Linked DNA regions of Saccharomyces cerevisiae S288C. The gene in region 1 interacts genetically with each later gene. Each region holds a gene or a part of one and is shown in the gene's direction. Other genes may lie near its edges. The genes, in order: CIN8, CLB2, BMH1 and PAC1.

What was found.
Region 2: mutations in CIN8 (region 1) and CLB2 are lethal when combined (synthetic lethality), as found in Saccharomyces cerevisiae (6 studies listed by BioGRID, with this or other methods).
Region 3: mutations in CIN8 (region 1) and BMH1 together harm fitness more than expected from each alone (negative genetic interaction), as found in Saccharomyces cerevisiae (5 studies listed by BioGRID, with this or other methods).
Region 4: mutations in CIN8 (region 1) and PAC1 together harm fitness more than expected from each alone (negative genetic interaction), as found in Saccharomyces cerevisiae (6 studies listed by BioGRID, with this or other methods).

What each region holds. Positions count from the first base shown.
Region 1 is NC_001137.3:35,578-41,994, reverse strand, and holds CIN8 (kinesin motor protein CIN8), read left to right. Parts: upstream 1-2,457; coding exon 2,458-5,460; downstream 5,461-6,417. Other genes in the region: PRB1 (proteinase B), read left to right, coding at 42-1,949; nitrogen permease regulating protein NPR2, read right to left, coding at 5,741-6,417. UniProt on the Saccharomyces cerevisiae protein: Elongates the mitotic spindle by interacting with spindle microtubules to generate an outward force pushing spindle poles apart.
Region 2 is NC_001148.4:769,425-774,230, forward strand, and holds CLB2 (B-type cyclin CLB2), read left to right. Parts: upstream 1-2,228; coding exon 2,229-3,704; downstream 3,705-4,806. Other genes in the region: B-type cyclin CLB5, read right to left, coding at 4,451-4,806. UniProt on the Saccharomyces cerevisiae protein: Essential for the control of the cell cycle at the G2/M (mitosis) transition. Interacts with the CDC2 protein kinase to form MPF. G2/M cyclins accumulate steadily during G2 and are abruptly destroyed at mitosis.
Region 3 is NC_001137.3:542,439-546,914, forward strand, and holds BMH1 (14-3-3 family protein BMH1), read left to right. Parts: upstream 1-3,172; coding exon 3,173-3,976; downstream 3,977-4,476. Other genes in the region: ECM32 (RNA helicase), read left to right, coding at 1-2,617; PDA1 (pyruvate dehydrogenase (acetyl-transferring) subunit E1 alpha), read left to right, coding at 4,379-4,476. UniProt on the Saccharomyces cerevisiae protein: Involved in growth regulation.
Region 4 is NC_001147.6:823,208-828,369, forward strand, and holds PAC1 (Pac1p), read left to right. Parts: upstream 1-3,177; coding exon 3,178-4,662; downstream 4,663-5,162. Other genes in the region: putative serine/threonine protein kinase HRK1, read right to left, coding at 1-1,660; YOR268C (uncharacterized protein), read right to left, coding at 2,327-2,725; VPH1 (H(+)-transporting V0 sector ATPase subunit a), read right to left, coding at 4,845-5,162.

The sequences.
Region 1 (6,417 bases):
CCAATAAAAAAACAAACTAAACCTAATTCTAACAAGCAAAGATGAAGTTAGAAAATACTCTATTTACACTCGGTGCCCTAGGGAGCATCTCTGCTGCTTTGGTCATCCCAAATCTTGAAAATGCCGCCGACCACCACGAACTGATTAACAAGGAAGATCACCACGAGAGACCCAGAAAAGTGGAATTCACTAAGGACGATGATGAGGAGCCATCTGACTCTGAAGATAAAGAACATGGAAAGTTCCATAAGAAGGGCCGCAAGGGCCAAGACAAGGAGTCTCCGGAATTCAACGGTAAACGTGCAAGTGGCTCTCATGGGAGCGCCCACGAGGGAGGAAAGGGCATGAAGCCTAAGCATGAAAGTTCCAATGATGATGATAATGATGATAAGAAGAAGAAGCCTCACCATAAGGGTGGCTGCCACGAAAATAAGGTGGAGGAGAAGAAGATGAAAGGTAAGAAAGTCAAGGGCAAGAAGCACCACGAAAAGACGTTGGAGAAAGGGAGGCACCACAACAGGCTGGCTCCTCTCGTGTCCACTGCACAATTCAACCCAGACGCGATCTCCAAGATCATCCCCAACCGCTACATTATAGTCTTCAAGAGAGGTGCCCCTCAAGAAGAGATCGATTTCCACAAGGAAAACGTCCAGCAGGCACAACTTCAATCCGTAGAGAACTTATCTGCCGAAGACGCTTTCTTCATTTCTACTAAAGACACCTCCTTGTCCACCTCTGAGGCTGGCGGTATCCAGGACTCATTCAACATCGATAATCTTTTCTCCGGTTACATCGGTTACTTCACCCAAGAGATTGTCGACTTGATACGTCAAAACCCATTAGTAGACTTTGTTGAGAGAGACTCTATTGTCGAGGCTACAGAATTTGACACTCAAAATAGCGCCCCATGGGGGTTGGCCCGTATTTCCCACAGAGAGCGCCTCAACCTGGGGTCCTTCAACAAGTATCTCTACGATGATGATGCCGGTCGCGGTGTCACGTCCTATGTTATTGACACGGGTGTCAACATCAACCACAAGGACTTCGAAAAGAGAGCCATTTGGGGGAAAACCATCCCACTTAACGACGAAGATCTCGACGGTAACGGCCACGGTACCCACTGTGCCGGTACTATCGCTTCCAAACACTACGGTGTCGCTAAAAATGCCAACGTTGTTGCGGTGAAAGTCTTGAGATCAAACGGGTCTGGTACCATGTCTGATGTCGTCAAAGGTGTCGAATATGCCGCAAAGGCGCACCAAAAAGAAGCCCAAGAAAAGAAAAAGGGGTTCAAAGGTTCCACAGCCAATATGTCGCTTGGTGGTGGCAAGTCCCCAGCTTTGGACTTGGCTGTTAATGCAGCCGTTGAAGTCGGTATTCACTTTGCCGTGGCTGCTGGTAACGAAAACCAAGACGCTTGTAATACCTCCCCAGCTTCTGCTGACAAGGCCATCACCGTCGGAGCTTCCACGTTGAGCGATGACAGAGCCTACTTTTCCAACTGGGGTAAGTGTGTCGACGTTTTCGCCCCAGGTTTAAACATTTTGTCCACCTACATTGGAAGTGATGACGCCACCGCCACTTTATCGGGTACCTCAATGGCTTCCCCTCACGTTGCTGGTTTGTTGACCTACTTTTTGTCTTTGCAACCAGGTTCTGATAGTGAATTTTTCGAATTGGGCCAGGATTCTTTGACTCCTCAGCAATTGAAAAAGAAGCTAATTCATTACAGTACAAAGGACATTTTGTTCGATATCCCTGAAGACACTCCAAATGTTTTAATCTACAACGGTGGTGGTCAAGATTTGTCCGCTTTCTGGAATGATACCAAAAAGTCCCATTCATCTGGTTTCAAGCAAGAATTGAACATGGATGAATTCATTGGATCAAAGACCGATTTAATCTTTGATCAAGTGAGAGATATTCTTGATAAATTGAATATTATTTAATTCTTCATTTAGAAAAATTTCAGCTGCTTTTTTTTTTCTTTTTCTTTCCTTAGGCGTCTCGAGGTTACAAGTCGGAGTCCCTCTTCACTATCGTTTGTCCACTTTTTTTATATCCCCATTATTTTCAATCTGAATTTCATTTTTTTTTTTTAATTCATGAAATTTATATGTCCCACGTATTACTACATATTTGCGTTTTTAATTAAATAAATAACTGTTACTTTTATTATATCTTATTTGCAGATCACTTATCTGATCAAATGTTTTCGTTTTCGTGTGTGGTGACGATGTATTAGGTACGCGAAATAAACAAAACAAACAAACAAGGCCGCAACAATAACATCATCTAAAGACTTCCTTTGTGACCCGCTTCTCAACAGCGGGTGTAGAACTTATGGTATGGCCAGAAAGTAACGTTGAGTATAGATACAGAAGCAAGCAATTCAAAGGAAAAAGTAATAAAAAGTATATAAAAGCGCAAAAAATACAACAAGAAAGAATTTGTTTGATGCCAGCGGAAAACCAAAATACGGGTCAAGATAGAAGCTCCAACAGCATCAGTAAAAATGGCAACTCTCAGGTTGGATGTCACACTGTTCCTAATGAGGAACTGAACATCACTGTAGCTGTGCGATGCAGAGGAAGGAATGAAAGGGAAATTAGTATGAAAAGCTCCGTTGTGGTAAATGTTCCAGATATTACAGGTTCTAAAGAAATTTCCATTAACACGACGGGAGATACCGGTATAACTGCTCAAATGAATGCCAAGAGATACACAGTGGACAAAGTCTTCGGTCCCGGCGCTTCCCAGGATCTAATTTTTGATGAAGTGGCGGGCCCATTATTCCAGGATTTCATTAAAGGTTACAATTGCACCGTACTGGTATATGGTATGACGTCAACAGGTAAAACATATACAATGACGGGCGACGAAAAGTTATATAATGGTGAATTGAGCGATGCAGCAGGAATTATACCGAGGGTTCTTTTGAAGTTGTTTGACACATTGGAACTACAACAGAACGATTACGTAGTAAAATGTTCGTTCATTGAACTCTACAACGAAGAATTGAAGGACCTCTTGGACAGCAATAGCAACGGCTCTAGTAATACTGGCTTTGACGGCCAATTTATGAAAAAATTGAGGATTTTTGATTCAAGCACAGCAAATAATACCACTAGCAACAGTGCTAGTAGTTCCAGGAGTAATTCTAGGAACAGTTCTCCGAGGTCATTAAATGATCTAACACCTAAAGCTGCTCTATTAAGAAAAAGGTTAAGGACAAAATCACTGCCGAATACCATCAAGCAACAGTATCAACAACAACAGGCAGTGAATTCCAGGAACAACTCTTCCTCTAACTCTGGCTCTACCACTAATAATGCTTCTAGTAACACCAACACAAATAACGGTCAAAGAAGTTCGATGGCTCCAAATGACCAAACTAATGGTATATACATCCAGAATTTGCAAGAATTTCACATAACAAATGCTATGGAGGGGCTAAACCTATTACAAAAAGGCTTAAAGCATAGGCAAGTAGCGTCCACTAAAATGAACGATTTTTCCAGTAGATCTCATACCATTTTTACAATCACTTTGTATAAGAAGCATCAGGATGAACTATTTAGAATTTCCAAAATGAATCTTGTGGATTTAGCTGGTTCAGAAAACATCAACAGATCCGGAGCATTAAATCAACGTGCCAAAGAAGCTGGTTCAATCAACCAAAGTCTATTGACGCTGGGCAGGGTCATAAACGCACTCGTAGATAAAAGCGGCCATATACCTTTCCGTGAATCGAAATTGACCCGCCTGCTTCAAGATTCCCTGGGTGGTAATACGAAAACCGCACTAATTGCTACTATATCGCCTGCAAAGGTAACTTCTGAAGAAACCTGCAGTACATTAGAGTATGCTTCGAAGGCTAAAAACATTAAGAACAAGCCGCAACTGGGTTCATTTATAATGAAGGATATTTTGGTTAAAAATATAACTATGGAATTAGCAAAGATTAAATCCGATTTACTCTCTACAAAGTCCAAAGAAGGAATATATATGAGCCAAGATCACTACAAAAATTTGAACAGTGATTTAGAAAGTTATAAAAATGAAGTTCAAGAATGTAAAAGAGAAATTGAAAGTTTGACATCGAAAAATGCATTGCTAGTAAAAGATAAATTGAAGTCAAAAGAAACTATTCAATCTCAAAATTGCCAAATAGAATCATTGAAAACTACCATAGATCATTTAAGGGCACAACTAGATAAACAGCATAAAACTGAAATTGAAATATCCGATTTTAATAACAAACTACAGAAGTTGACTGAGGTAATGCAAATGGCCCTACATGATTACAAAAAAAGAGAACTTGACCTTAATCAAAAGTTTGAAATGCATATTACTAAAGAAATTAAAAAATTGAAATCTACACTGTTTTTACAATTAAACACTATGCAACAGGAAAGTATTCTTCAAGAGACTAATATCCAACCAAATCTTGATATGATCAAAAATGAAGTACTGACTCTTATGAGAACCATGCAAGAAAAAGCTGAACTAATGTACAAAGACTGTGTGAAGAAAATTTTAAACGAATCTCCTAAATTCTTCAATGTTGTTATTGAGAAAATCGACATAATAAGAGTAGATTTCCAAAAATTTTATAAAAATATAGCCGAGAATCTTTCTGATATTAGCGAAGAAAATAACAACATGAAACAGTACTTAAAAAACCATTTTTTCAAGAATAACCATCAAGAATTACTGAATCGTCATGTGGATTCTACTTATGAAAATATTGAGAAGAGAACAAACGAGTTTGTTGAGAACTTTAAAAAGGTCCTAAATGACCACCTTGACGAAAATAAAAAACTAATAATGCAGAATCTGACAACTGCAACCAGCGCGGTTATTGATCAAGAAATGGATCTGTTTGAACCCAAGCGCGTTAAATGGGAAAATTCATTTGATCTGATAAATGATTGTGACTCCATGAATAACGAATTCTATAATAGCATGGCAGCGACGCTATCGCAAATCAAGAGTACTGTTGATACATCATCAAATTCGATGAATGAGTCTATTTCAGTCATGAAAGGACAAGTGGAAGAATCGGAGAACGCTATATCCCTTTTGAAGAACAATACCAAATTTAATGATCAATTTGAGCAGCTTATTAACAAGCATAACATGTTGAAAGATAACATTAAAAATTCGATAACATCAACACACTCTCATATAACTAATGTGGATGATATCTATAATACGATTGAAAACATAATGAAAAACTATGGTAACAAGGAAAACGCTACCAAAGACGAAATGATCGAGAACATATTGAAGGAAATACCAAATCTAAGTAAGAAAATGCCGTTAAGGTTATCAAACATAAATAGCAATTCAGTGCAAAGTGTAATATCGCCCAAAAAGCATGCAATTGAAGATGAAAACAAATCCAGTGAAAATGTGGACAATGAGGGCTCGAGAAAAATGTTAAAGATTGAATAGTTGATATTGCCTTTCAGTCGAATATATATTCAAACTAGTGGTTAATAAAAACAAAGTATGTAAAGAATACTCAGTTATTCATTAGAAGGCAAGACAGAAGAGAAGGGTGTGAAACCACCTCTACCAAACACACCAAGAGATGAACCTAAATCAAATTTTCACAGAGCTAACTATATAAACGTTTGGATTCGTGTGTACTATCTTTATTTACGGAAATAAGTTGTAATATTAAAAAAAAAAAAAAACATTTTGATGGACAATGAATTTCTCTAATTTTAACTCAGCTATTAATTACCTTAAATTCTCCTAATTCGTTTAGGTAGCTTTCGACTTCTAATTTAGGCTTGCTCAGTAAAACGCAAATTTTATCAAATGTTTCGGCATTCCTAATAGACTCTTCAAGAATACCTTCTTCTTCGTCGCTGAGTTTCGGCATAGTACTTTTGCCTGTTGCCAACGAACTTACCCTTTGCATTTCAAATGAAACCTTTGATGGTCTTTCTGGTTTCAAGTTGCCGGATTGTGCCGTATTTCTAGACCCTGTGGCTGAAAGCAAATGATTGTGATTTCTTTTTTCAAGTAACTTATCATTATTCACTAAATCTTTTGTTATTATTGGTGTCATTTCTTTTGGTTCACGTGAACCTGCATTTATCATTACAGGAAAAGAGTAGCACCTGTAAATGATACGTTTTTCCAGGCCAAACGTTATGAACCTTCTTATATCAATGTTATTTTCTTTTAAAATCATATATTTCGACTCATACCATGTTTTCAGCGTTTGACCTTGTGAAAGTGACCTATAAAGGTCAAATAGGCATGATCTTGTTGGTAGGAATCGGTTACGATTGTTGATGACATGAATATTTGAACTCGAGCAGGAGGTTTGTGATTGCCTCCAGTCTTTATAAATTGATGAAAAAGAGGAATTTAAGGAGGAGTTTTGAGAAACTCTAC
Region 2 (4,806 bases), on another chromosome or scaffold:
ACCCGTCCTTCCCTAGCTGAACTACCCAAAAGTATAAATGCCTGAACAATTAGTTTAGATCCGAGATTCCGCGTTTCCACCACTTAGTATGATTCATATTTTATATAGTATATAAGATAAGTAACATTCCGTGAATTAATCTGATAAACTGTTTTAACAACTGGTTACTTCCCTAAGACTGTTTATATTAGGATTGTCAAGACACTCCGGTATTACTCGAGCCCGTAATACAACAGAGCGTCCTTAATAAATATTTCTATAAATATTTGATGTTTACCTTCCGAAAAAGGTACATTGCCAACCTTATTTGATAAATGTGTAAACTAAGATAAGTGTTGAGATCGGATTTTGATAAAGGCATTTGTTTGGGGTGTATGAGTTGGGAAAAGAAACAACAATCATCTCTTGACCAGTTTTCCTACTACTAGTGTGTTATCATATAGCGTAAGAGTATGACATAGAGATTGAGAAACAGAAACTGAATCATAACGAACATCACAGAATTTACATTTCTACACAATTTTCAGAAAAAGTGGAGTGGTGATATATGCTTATTGTTCTACAAGTTCTCTTCATGCGTTTTTGTTTATCTATCTTATTGAATTATTATCTTCATGCATTTATACTTATTAAATTCGATGAACATTTCATATTATTTTTATATGCTTCATAATTCATGTTACTACGATCTATACAGAGTATTATCGTAATGTCTTACCTTTAGCTTGTCACTTAACACATGCACTGCATTTCGAAAAGATGCTTAAGCAAGTTTATCATAATTTGGGAGTGTTCGGTGAATTTATACAGAAAGCCCCTCCAACGTCTTATTGATAATGTATATTTAGTTCATTTACCAAAATACTATCAATTCATCAACCTCCAAGTGGTTTTGACTAAACAGCCCACAATTGACATATGTGACTGCTAAGCAGACCTTTCTTGAAGTAAATTTCAGGGAAACTAAGCTACGGCCTTTCCAAAATATGGGCAGGAACTGCTTAATCCTTTCCTTTTATTAGATAAGCACTTTAGTATTTTTGTTTTTCATGGCCTTATCCTACGTTATTGTCGTGAAAGAAATGGCAGAAATTTCTGTTGTACATAAATTACTAACTGCCTTACCTTGAAAACGGTTTTATTACAAAAATAGGGGTCAAGTGTTTTGTTATCCCTGTTGTTGTTGTTTTATAAGTCCTAATCTCGCTTGAATATCGCCCATATTCACACCCTGTTCTTGACCGTCTACTAAGGTGCCTTAGGGGGACTCAAACTTAAGATCGCCTTCTACGCGTTTTATGCTATGATCATTAGTGTTGATGCATCGGAAGTTTAAAAATTAAGTGCGAGTGCATTAGCACAGTGGAATTATTAGAATGACCACTACTCCTTCTAATCAAACACGCGGAAATAGCCGCCAAAAGACAGATTTTATTCCAAATGCGGGTAACTATTTGTATAATATGTTTACATATTGAGCCCGTTTAGGAAAGTGCAAGTTCAAGGCACTAATCAAAAAAGGAGATTTGTAAATATAGCGACCGAATCAGGAAAAGGTCAACAACGAAGTTCGCGATATGGATGAACTTCGGTGCCTGTCCCTCGAGGAAATAGCAAACTCGTTACAGCTAGCATCTCATAGCATGGGCATAGAGTTTCAGAAATTTTGCTCTTAATGGAAAATATAACCTCTTTGGGGAAAAGAGAAATAGATCCTTTCTCAAAAATTTAGAAAGGAAAAAAAATCAAAATATAATAAAATAGATTTTTTTTAGGTTAATTTTTTGCCAATTTAGCTAGACTTTTGAAAAGATCCAAAAATTTACTAAAATTGAATCTTTCTGGTATTAATTTTGTCCTATACCTCAAGAAGTAAAGTATTCTCGAATTGATACTTCTGAAAAGCGAAAGAAATATAGCTAAAGGATACTGGTTATTTATTCTTTCTTTTTTTCTTTCTTTTTGATTGAGCCAGTGTATAATAAAAACCTACTGCGAGCTATTCAATAAATTGACATAGAATATCTGTTGAAGCGGTTCTTTGATTGAGCATCTGTTTTCCTTTTGTATTTTTGTCCTTTTAGATTCTTTTAACGACATTGGAGAAATTTTAATCATTGTATAAAAACTTCATTCGCTCGTTTGTCAGAAGTTTTTTTATAACTTGCTATTTCCTTCCAAGAAGCCTTTTATTGATTACCCCCTCTCTCTCTTCATTGATCTTATAGATGTCCAACCCAATAGAAAACACAGAAAACTCACAGAATACTAGTTCATCAAGGTTTTTGAGGAATGTACAAAGGTTGGCCTTAAACAATGTAACAAATACGACATTTCAAAAGAGTAATGCGAATAATCCAGCCCTAACAAATTTCAAATCTACACTAAACTCAGTAAAGAAGGAGGGAAGTCGGATTCCTCAATTTACTAGAGAAAGCGTATCAAGATCAACAGCCGCACAAGAGGAGAAAAGAACCCTGAAAGAAAATGGTATCCAACTCCCCAAAAACAATCTTTTAGATGATAAAGAAAACCAAGACCCAAGTAGTCAGCAATTTGGTGCGCTAACTTCTATAAAGGAGGGGAGAGCTGAGCTGCCTGCAAATATAAGTTTACAAGAATCCTCCTCAGCGAAGGAGATAATCCAGCATGATCCCCTAAAAGGCGTTGGATCAAGCACTGAGGTAGTCCATAACTCGGTAGAAAACGAAAAACTTCATCCAGCTAGAAGTCAACTTCAAGTTAGAAATACCGAAAGTGAAACTGATAGTGGAAAAAAAAGACCAATTTCTACAATTGTTGAACAAGAACTGCCCAAAAAGTTTAAAGTGTGCGATGAAAATGGCAAAGAAGAATATGAATGGGAAGACCTAGATGCAGAAGATGTAAATGATCCATTCATGGTCAGCGAGTACGTCAATGATATATTCGAATATCTCCACCAACTAGAGGTCATTACTCTTCCAAAGAAGGAAGATCTCTATCAGCATAGAAATATTCATCAAAATCGAGATATCCTAGTTAATTGGTTGGTTAAAATCCATAATAAATTCGGCTTATTACCGGAGACTTTGTATCTTGCCATTAACATAATGGACAGGTTTTTAGGTAAAGAGCTAGTTCAACTGGATAAGTTACAATTGGTTGGCACATCATGCCTTTTCATTGCCTCTAAATATGAAGAGGTCTATTCTCCTAGTATAAAACATTTCGCATCAGAGACAGACGGTGCATGTACGGAAGATGAAATCAAAGAAGGGGAGAAATTCATTTTAAAGACATTGAAATTTAACCTAAATTATCCCAATCCGATGAATTTTCTGAGAAGAATTTCGAAAGCAGATGACTACGATATACAGTCTCGAACTCTTGCCAAATTCTTATTAGAGATATCATTGGTAGATTTCAGATTTATTGGGATACTACCCTCATTGTGTGCAGCAGCTGCGATGTTTATGTCGAGAAAAATGTTAGGTAAAGGTAAATGGGATGGAAATCTAATACACTATAGCGGCGGGTATACTAAAGAAGAACTTGCGCCCGTGTGTCACATGATAATGGATTATCTAGTGAGTCCAATTGTTCATGATGAATTTCATAGAAAATATCAATCTAGAAGATTTATGAAAGCTTCTATAATTTCCGTCCAATGGGCTTTAAAGGTTAGAAAAAACGGCTATGATATAATGACCTTGCATGAATGAGAAGAGGGGCAGATGCTTAAAATATCTAAAACGATAATCGATAAATGTCCATATAAAATGTATGGCTGCTTTTTAATCATTTCTTTTCACATTTCCATTTATTCTTACAAATTTCACACCCAATTTTAGCGCCTTTCATTCTGTTATTTTTAAACTGACGATAAAAAATCATTCGAAGCCTAAGATTTCCAAAATAAAACTCCATTTTTATTCTCACTAATAACACCACACCATTAATTTTAATTTTTTAATTTTAATTTCAGATTTGTACCATAAGTTTTATTCTATTTCAGTTCAACCGTTTCCGGATGCATGTAGCGAGGGTAGACAAAGAAAAGCATCAGTATCGGATGTTGATATTATGGGAAATATCATAACCTTAGTCTCTTAAAAAATGCTGCTTTCTTCTCATTTTTCATTTCTTTTAAAATTATTTCAGTATAGTTATTATAATTAACATTGGAATAACATTAATAATAATAATTTTTTAATAGTAATAATGATAATAATAATAATAAAAATAAAAGAATAAATTTAAAAACAAAAAAAATTCTAATATTAATGATGATAATAGTAGTAATACTGGTGGTATTATATATGTTGAAGTGAACACGCATATCACTATAAACTATATATACATATATATAGATAGATAGATAGATGCAAAAAATTTTTTCCTTTTAGTTCAGCAAAAAGAAAAGAAAATGTAAAGAGTATGCGAATTCATGAGCATTACTAGTACTAATCTACTTAAGATTAAATAGATTTTGAAAGTTGCTATGCATTTCGGATGTACACCACTTGAAAGTTTGGAAATAAACAGAGCCATACCTTGGTTTCTTGTACTTCAAAATCAATGAATCTAAATGAGTTTTGGAACTAGCGATGTCTTTGACTAGATCAATGCAGAGAGACTGAAACGCTTCATCGTGTATTGGATCGATACCACCACTGTAATGCTGTAGTGTTCCATTCCATAGCTCGTTCTTGTTTCTGTTGGTCATTCTTCTCGCTATATACATTGCCATTGCGCTTACGGTAGATGGAGGTAAATGAATGAATTGGTGGCAGCAGTAGGCATACTCTAAAATAAACTTACCAA
Region 3 (4,476 bases), 510 kb from region 1:
AAACAAAGGGAAAGGAAATAAGGCAAACCACAAAAAGAATAGTGGAAATGGGATAGGAAAAGAGAAAGAGAGGAAAACAAACATTAGAAATAATGTCCGTAACAGCCAACCTATACCAGAGGACAGAAAAAATACCAATAGCCACGTTACAACAAACTCTGGAGGGAAAGGCAAGAACGAATCAGTGGATAAGCACCAATTACCGCAACCAAAAGCTTTGAATGGAAACGGGTCGGGCAGTACTAATACTACTGGTTTGAAAAAAGGGAAAAAAGACCATGCTGGCCAGAAGACTAAGGGCAATGATAAAACGGGTAATAAGAATCCGCGAGAGGCCAAACTAAATTCAGCTGGCAGAAAGAATGCACTTGGCAAAAAATCAAATAACCAGCCAAATAAGGGAACTAGCAGGTGGACAATTGGATCTGATACTGAATCTTCTAGAGAACCTAGTATTAGCCCAAACGAGAACACAACTTCAATTACTAAATCGCGAAACCGCAATAAGAAGGCTAGCAAGCCGACGCTGAATGAAAAATCAAAAACAACAACGATGCCAAAAAAGTTGGAGACAAAAAATCAAGAGAAAAATAATGGAAAAACTAAGGACGGGAAACTTATTTACGAAGAAGGTGAACCACTCACAAGGTATAATACCTTTAAGTCAACCTTATCATACCCCGATTTGAACACATACCTAAATGATTACTCATTTGCCCTTTTTTTGGAACAGAAATTAGAGAACGAATTTGTTCAAAACTTCAACATACTATGGCCTCGCAATGAAAAAGATACAGCTTTTATAATCAACGTTGAGAAGAATAATAATTCAGAACTTGAGAAATTACTACCTGCAAATTTGCTTGCACTCGGTAGACCGGCATTTAATGAAAGGCAACCATTTTTCTTTTGTACTCAGGATGAACAAAAAGTTTGGTATATTTTTATCAAAGAACTTTCTATTCAAAGGGGTAAATACGTGTTGTTAGTGGAGCTTTTTTCGTGGAATAATTTGAGTTTGCCAACGAAAAATGGTTCATCTCAATTTAAGCTATTGCCAACTTCTGCGCAGACAAGTAGAATTCTATTTGCCATGACGCGTATTACAAACCCAAAATTTATTGACCTATTACTAGGCCAAAAGCCTATTAAAGAGATTTATTTTGATAACAGGCTAAAATTTTCCAGTGACAAGTTGAACCGATCTCAGAAGACTGCAGTGGAACATGTTCTAAACAACAGTATCACAATTCTACAAGGCCCACCTGGTACAGGTAAAACATCAACAATAGAGGAGATAATCATCCAAGTAATTGAAAGATTTCACGCATTCCCAATATTGTGTGTTGCCGCGTCAAATATTGCTATTGATAACATTGCCGAGAAGATTATGGAGAATAGACCGCAGATAAAGATCTTAAGAATTTTGTCAAAGAAGAAAGAACAACAGTATAGTGATGACCACCCATTGGGCGAAATTTGTCTCCACAATATTGTATACAAAAATCTTTCCCCAGACATGCAAGTCGTGGCAAACAAAACCCGCAGGGGCGAAATGATCTCCAAATCAGAGGACACGAAGTTTTATAAAGAGAAAAACCGTGTCACCAACAAGGTCGTATCTCAATCGCAAATAATTTTCACGACAAACATTGCTGCAGGTGGTCGTGAATTGAAGGTTATAAAAGAATGTCCCGTGGTAATAATGGATGAGGCTACACAATCATCAGAGGCTTCAACACTAGTCCCACTTTCGTTACCAGGTATAAGAAATTTTGTCTTCGTTGGGGACGAAAAGCAATTGTCAAGTTTCAGCAACATCCCTCAACTGGAAACCTCACTATTCGAAAGAGTCCTATCTAATGGCACGTACAAAAACCCACTAATGCTGGATACGCAGTACAGAATGCACCCAAAAATTAGCGAATTCCCCATTAAGAAAATATACAATGGTGAATTGAAGGACGGTGTCACGGACGAACAAAAGGCATGGCCTGGCGTGCAGCATCCGTTGTTTTTTTATCAGTGCGATTTGGGGCCCGAGAGCAGAGTGAGAAGCACGCAAAGAGACATAGTCGGGTTTACGTACGAAAACAAACACGAATGTGTAGAAATCGTGAAGATTATCCAAATACTAATGTTGGACAAGAAGGTTCCGCTGGAAGAAATTGGTGTCATAACGCCCTATTCTGCACAGCGTGATCTGCTGTCTGACATCTTGACCAAAAACGTAGTTATCAACCCCAAACAGATTTCTATGCAACAAGAATACGATGAAATTGAGCTATTTAACGCGGCTGGTTCTCAAGGAACCGCCGGCAGTCTACAAAACAATGTGATTAACATCATCAACGGCCTACACGTCGCGACCGTAGACTCCTTTCAAGGCCACGAAAAATCTTTCATCATATTTTCATGTGTCAGAAATAACACCGAAAACAAAATCGGCTTTTTACGTGACAAAAGAAGGTTAAACGTGGCATTGACAAGAGCCAAGCACGGACTAATTGTGGTGGGCAACAAGAATGTCTTAAGAAAAGGAGACCCCCTATGGAAAGACTACATTACCTACCTCGAGGAACAAGAGGTCATATTCACTGATCTCACAGCTTACTAGCCGGCTAGGCGGCGGCAAGAAAATCCACTGTTTATGTATTGATTGCGCAATGCAGAGATAGATAGATATAGATAGATAATGGACGTAGTTATAGAACAGAAAATCGGTAGATCGAAAACACAGGGGAAAAAGGGGGGGGGGGGGGGGAGACAGCGCAGCCACGTGACGGGCTTCCTCTTTGGAAAGTGGAGCGAAGTTTTGCGGAAGCTACTTTATTCCGGCCTGGAGTCAAAAGAGGAAGCTCGGTGGCAAATAGCTTCCTCTTTGTGGCCGGGGCGCGGGGGGACGAGGCAAAAAGCAAAGAAAAGCAAAAAAAATAAAAAAAAAAACAAAAAAACAGGGGTATGAGAAAAAGACACGCTTTTCCACGCGCAGCAAAAAGGAAAAAGGAAAAGGAAACTCTTTATTATTGGACCTTAAACCTGAAAACGAGACGAACCGTAACATAAAACCGTGTAGTTTCTGCAAAAATAACTTAGTTTTTCCTACTTTTCAAAATTGAGAGCGCAAGCAAGTGAGAAGAAAAAGCAAGTTAAAGATAAACTAAAGATAAAAATGTCAACCAGTCGTGAAGATTCTGTGTACCTAGCCAAGTTGGCTGAACAGGCCGAACGTTATGAAGAAATGGTCGAAAACATGAAGACTGTTGCCTCCTCTGGCCAAGAGTTGTCGGTCGAAGAGCGTAATTTGTTGTCTGTTGCTTATAAGAACGTTATTGGTGCTCGTCGTGCCTCTTGGAGAATTGTTTCTTCTATTGAGCAAAAGGAGGAGTCCAAGGAGAAGTCCGAACACCAGGTCGAGTTGATTTGTTCGTACCGTTCGAAGATTGAGACCGAACTAACTAAGATCTCCGACGATATTTTGTCCGTGCTAGACTCCCACTTAATTCCATCAGCCACCACTGGCGAGTCCAAGGTTTTCTACTATAAGATGAAGGGTGACTACCACCGTTATTTGGCTGAATTTTCTAGTGGCGATGCTAGAGAAAAGGCCACAAACGCCTCTTTAGAAGCATACAAGACCGCTTCTGAAATTGCCACCACAGAGTTACCCCCAACTCACCCAATCCGTCTAGGTTTGGCTCTTAACTTCTCTGTCTTCTATTATGAAATTCAAAACTCTCCAGACAAAGCCTGCCATTTGGCCAAGCAAGCTTTTGACGACGCTATTGCTGAGTTGGACACTCTGTCTGAAGAATCATACAAAGATAGCACACTTATCATGCAACTGCTAAGGGACAATTTAACCTTATGGACTTCAGACATGTCCGAGTCCGGTCAAGCTGAAGACCAACAACAACAACAACAACATCAGCAACAGCAGCCACCTGCTGCCGCCGAAGGTGAAGCACCAAAGTAAGTATTCTGATAAATCTAAAGAGAAATTACTAAAAAAAAGAAAAAAAAAAGAACGGGGGTGTAATAATTTGTAGTTCATTATTGCAATTATATATCTATATCTATATATGTATATAACATTAACATGTGCATGTACACACGTAATCGCGCGTGTACATGTCTATATGTGTTACTTGAACTATACTGTTTTGACGTGTATGTTTATTTATCTCTCTTCTGATTCCTCCACCCCTTCCTTACTCAACCGGGTAAATGTCGCATCATGACTCCCGACAATAATCCCCTCTGGTATAGCGAGAAGCAACTTTAGCTTCTTAACGGCAAGAACTTTTTTATGTTTGTCGCACCTGTATCTTCACAAAAGTTGGATACAGCAATAAGAAAGGAAACCACATTTGTGCCAATGCTTGCTGCTTCATTCAAACGCCAACCATCACAATTGGTCCGCGGGTTAGGAGCTGTTCTTCGCACTCCCACCAGGATAGGTCATGTTCGTACCAT
Region 4 (5,162 bases), on another chromosome or scaffold:
CTGAAACTACCGTGCTTTTATTCTCATTTTTGCTTATTTTAATATCGATGGTACTTTCCTTGTCATTATCTGGCGTGCTTTCTTTATCATTATTGCTATCATCTTCTTTATTTTCTTCGGTTTCTTCTTCCACAATGTCTGGTTTGTTATCGCTTTTACCCTGTATAGATGCTGGAGTATTTGGAACTTGATTTTGAACTGTTTTCAAGTTTGATTCATGAGCTGGTTGTTGCTGATTGATGGCGGAACAGTCACTGTGATTCAAAAACCTTTGACGCTTTTCTTTTCTTTCCTTCAGTAACTCTTCGTGATGCCTGGCAGATTCAACATAGTCGTGTTCTATATCATCCGGCATACAATATAATCTAAAATTATCGTCAGAATCTCTAGGGGCTTTCCATGGAAACCTTTTAAGCACCATACAACAATATATGATCCCAATAGACCATATATCGACGCACTGAGGATCATAAGATTTGGTGGAGGTAATCACTTCCGGCGCTAAGTAAGGGTCACTACCCACGATTCCATGAGCCATCGTTACGCCATCTTCAAAAGGATATCTGAACACAACAGCACTACCAAAATCAATTAATTTCAAAATACCCTGGGAAGTCATGACACAATTATCCAATTTCAAATCTCTATGTGCCAATCCCATAGAATGTAAATATTTAACACCTTCAGTCAATTGCTTCAAGCAACAGTTGATCTCGCCACGAGACATCTTGCCTGTCATAACAACAGCAAAAAAATCAATCGGACAGTACTCCATAACTTCATAGTATTTATTTTGTTTAGAATCAGAGAAAACGTCAACAGTTTCGATAACATTTGGGTGATGTAAAGTCGAACCAATACAAAATTCTGCGGTGCACTTCTTGGCATATTCTTTCACACTCTCATTCGGTTTCCTTGGTCTGAATTCTTTGACGGCAAAAGTAGCACCATCAGTTGGTCTCACAAGAACTTTAACGGACCCACCGGCACCGGAACCCAATAACTTACCCAATTTCCCGTATTTTTGAGCCAGAATACAATCATCGTGATATATATTAATATTATTGGACAAAGATAGGATAGAATCGGTACTTGGCGGTATAGCAGACTGGGTATGAGCATAGTGGTCTGTAAAGCCATGAGGATGCTGGGCACGATAGTGATTATTTAAATTAACTGTAGAAGTTGATTTTGAAGGTGGGGGGGAATGGGTGCTATGTTTCTTGGAACGAAGTTGAGACATAGATAGTTTTTTATTTACAGAAGGTCTGAAAAACCTTTTCAATTCTGCCATGGAGTGGGTTTGTTTTGGAGAGGCGGGAGAAGTATAGTCATGGAGCCCATGAGAAATATTATGGTGGTGGTTTGTTTCATAGTTATTATTGTAGTTGTTTGTTGAGATACTGGTTGCATTAGAATGGCTATGGGTGTTGTTATTAAGGTTTGTTGTAGTATAATTTGTAGTGGTTGTGGTAGATTTCATGGAATCTGTAGATTTCTCGCTTCTTAGTGAGTCATTACTTTGTTTTCTACCAATGAAGTTTAAGAAAGATTTAGAACTTCTGATCAACTGTGGCGGGTTATTAGACGAATTTTCACGGTCATGATGATGGTCATTATGATGACCATGGAATGGGTTTCTCGACAATAGATTAGGCATCTTTATACGAGAAATAGTTCTACCGTATTATTATAATTATTAGTGTTATTATTTTTGTTTTCGATCAATTCTAGCGGAGCTACAATGTGGTAGTCAAACGCTGCTATTGTATTTAATTCCGGCTCGAGACCAGTCTGGAAAGTCGACGTATATCGTTACTACTATCCTTTTTTTATTATTCCTACTATTTCCTTATTGAAAAAGTGGAAAACTGTTAAATCTGGAAATTCTTCACGATTCTAGAAAAATAGGAGGTGAAGAAGATTTCTAAGCTTTTTGAAAAAAACGGGAAAAGGAAGAGGCCCAAAAAAGTGAAAAAAAACTGTGTGTGTGAAATGTAAACGAACTTTGCTCCCTCTAGGAAAAACTTCTTTAAGCGGTTGGGAACTGTCTTGGGCTTACTTGTTTGTAAACAGTTGTATGAATGATTCTATATGCTAATTCTCAGTTTGTCTCTCTTAAAGATTTGTCACTCTGAAATATATAGCCAAATAGAACTAGGCGAAGAAAAAGAAAAGGGGCGGCGACGACGTAGGGGTCAGGTAGAAGAGTTGGGCACTTATTGGCGATATAAAAGACAAAATACACTAATGCAAGAGTATGGTGAGCGAAAGGAAAATAAAGAAAGGCTACGTTATTGACGGATATATGAATCAAGACACAAGACTATTTTGTATAGTAAGCAGAACCGGCTTGTGTTTGTGATTCATGGATCAACGAGACGGTAGCGAATAAGCACCAACGGAAAAAAAGAAAACATACGCATACATGCACGTACAAGATAAAAAAAGCACAGGTGTGGTGGTAGTATTGGGATAACCAGGCACACGCTACTGCGAGATAGCAAAAGACCCTTCCCGTAAACCGCTCGGATAAACCGATTTTGTCCTTTAGCGTGACACGGATTATACGCGGGGATCCGGCGTCACAAGCCACGGCCCGTCCCGTCCGCGTGGTTTTTAATTCTGGCTCCGCGTAGTACATTTTGTAGCTTGCCTTTTTTCCGGCTTCTAGAAAACTGGAAAAACCATAAGAAAAAAATGGGAAGGGGAAAACAAAAACCATTCAGGTCTTGCGTGCCGAGAATTTTTTTTTTCTCTTTTTCGTTGTCAACTTTTGCAGTAGCAGCCGCTGGCGACCCGGACGGTAGCCATGGCAACGGTTAGCTAATGGTAGGTAAATAAAACGAGTAACGACGTTTTAGTATATCTTGGTAAACTACAATTAGATCTTAAAACGGTTCCTGAAAAAGTGCTTTCATCTACCATTGAATTTAATTCACTTCCCTTTATGGAATTTGCACTGGTTTTGTGCTGTGGGATGTGGGTGTTTTGAAATATTTTCAGCTTGCAAGTCGTGCATATTGCACTTGTTTCTTATTTTTGGCGAGTGTAAACGTAATAGGTAATCTTAGTATTGGGCCATCGTCGCCCAGATAGCCATTGATAAAGCAGCTAGGTTCGTCGTCCGGTTGTTGGTATACACCTGTGCGTGCGTAAGTGTAGAAAAAAATAGAAATGACTAACTGGCAGCAACAGCTTCCTTTAACAGATACACAGAAAAATGAACTCGATAAAAGTGTCCTCCGATATTTGAATTGGAATTACAAACAAACTGTACGACATGAGCATGCTCAAGATTACGAAAGTGTTCGACATGCAATTGTAACTCTATCAGGTTTTCTGTTGCAAGAATCAGTGGACCGGCAAGAATTCATCAGTAACAATGACACCAGTAACGAAAGTATGGTAGACATTGATGAATTACTGCTACCGAAGAAGTGGAACTCAATTGTTAGACTACAAAAAAAAATCATTGAATTGGAGCAGAATACAGAGACCCTTGTATCTCAGATTAAAGATTTGAACACTCAAGTGTCAGAACTAGCACAATTCAAACCTACCACCAGTAACGGCACCAGCGCACATAATGTTTTGAAATGGATACCGAGAAATCTACCAAGCTGTTTAATTAATGTTGAATCATCTGTCACTTCCGTCAAACTACATCCCAATTTGCCTATAGTGTTTGTGGCCACAGATCATGGCAAATTATACGCATTTGATTTATTTAACTACACCATCCCTCTGGCATCCTTGCAAAGTCATACCAAGGCAATTACCTCCATGGATGTTTTATTTACCAATTATACGAACTCCAGCAAGAAGAACTATTTGGTGATCGTTACCGCGTCTAAAGATTTGCAGATTCATGTTTTCAAGTGGGTCTCCGAGGAATGCAAGTTCCAACAAATTAGGTCTTTATTGGGCCATGAGCATATTGTCTCTGCGGTAAAAATCTGGCAGAAAAATAATGATGTCCATATAGCGTCCTGTTCCAGAGATCAAACTGTTAAAATTTGGGACTTCCACAATGGTTGGTCGTTGAAAACATTTCAGCCTCATTCCCAATGGGTTCGTTCCATAGACGTTCTAGGCGATTACATCATCTCTGGTTCACATGACACTACATTAAGGTTAACACATTGGCCATCAGGTAATGGTCTTAGTGTTGGCACGGGTCATGAATTTCCCATAGAGAAAGTTAAATTTATTCATTTCATCGAAGACTCTCCGGAGATAAGGTTTAGAACACCATCAACGGATCGATATAAGAATTGGGGGATGCAATATTGTGTCTCAGCGTCAAGAGATAGAACGATAAAAATCTGGGAGATACCTCTACCTACGTTAATGGCCCATAGAGCACCCATACCGAATCCTACAGATTCAAATTTCAGATGTGTTCTTACGTTGAAGGGGCATCTTTCGTGGGTTAGAGATATTAGTATTCGAGGCCAATACTTGTTTTCTTGTGCTGATGATAAATCTGTCAGATGTTGGGATCTGAACACGGGGCAGTGCTTACACGTTTGGGAAAAGTTGCATACAGGATTTGTCAACTGTTTAGACCTGGATGTGGATTTCGATTCTAACGTTACCCCAAGGCAAATGATGGTCACTGGTGGATTGGATTGCAAGTCTAACGTTTTCATGAGATAAGTTTGGCTTTCCTATTTCTTTTTCCCTTTTTTTTGACTCTTTTTAAGCATTGGTTGATACTTTAAATACTTTATTGAATTAGCATTGATAGTATATAATAAGGTTTACTCACTATATAGTAGCATCATTTATTATTTAATGAAGTACTTAAATGTTTCGCTTTTTTTAAAAGTCCTCAAAATTTAGCTTGAAGCGGAAGAGCTTGCACTAGCAACAGCGACTTCCATGTCTTTATACTCAAATGCGAATGGTTCGTATGGTAAACCTTCACCCACGAAAAACTTGGACATAGATTCAACCCAGTGCAAACGTAAGGAATGAAGCATGGCAGATGTACCTTCCATCAAAACAAGAACTGCACATGTTAGTGCGAACCACATGGCAAAAAGTGCAACCGTCATAAACACACCCACAAATCCTCTAAATCCAAAGGCAATTTGAATTGTCATTGTCCATAAAACACTAGACAATTGAGCATGTGCCAATGATAAGGCCCATAA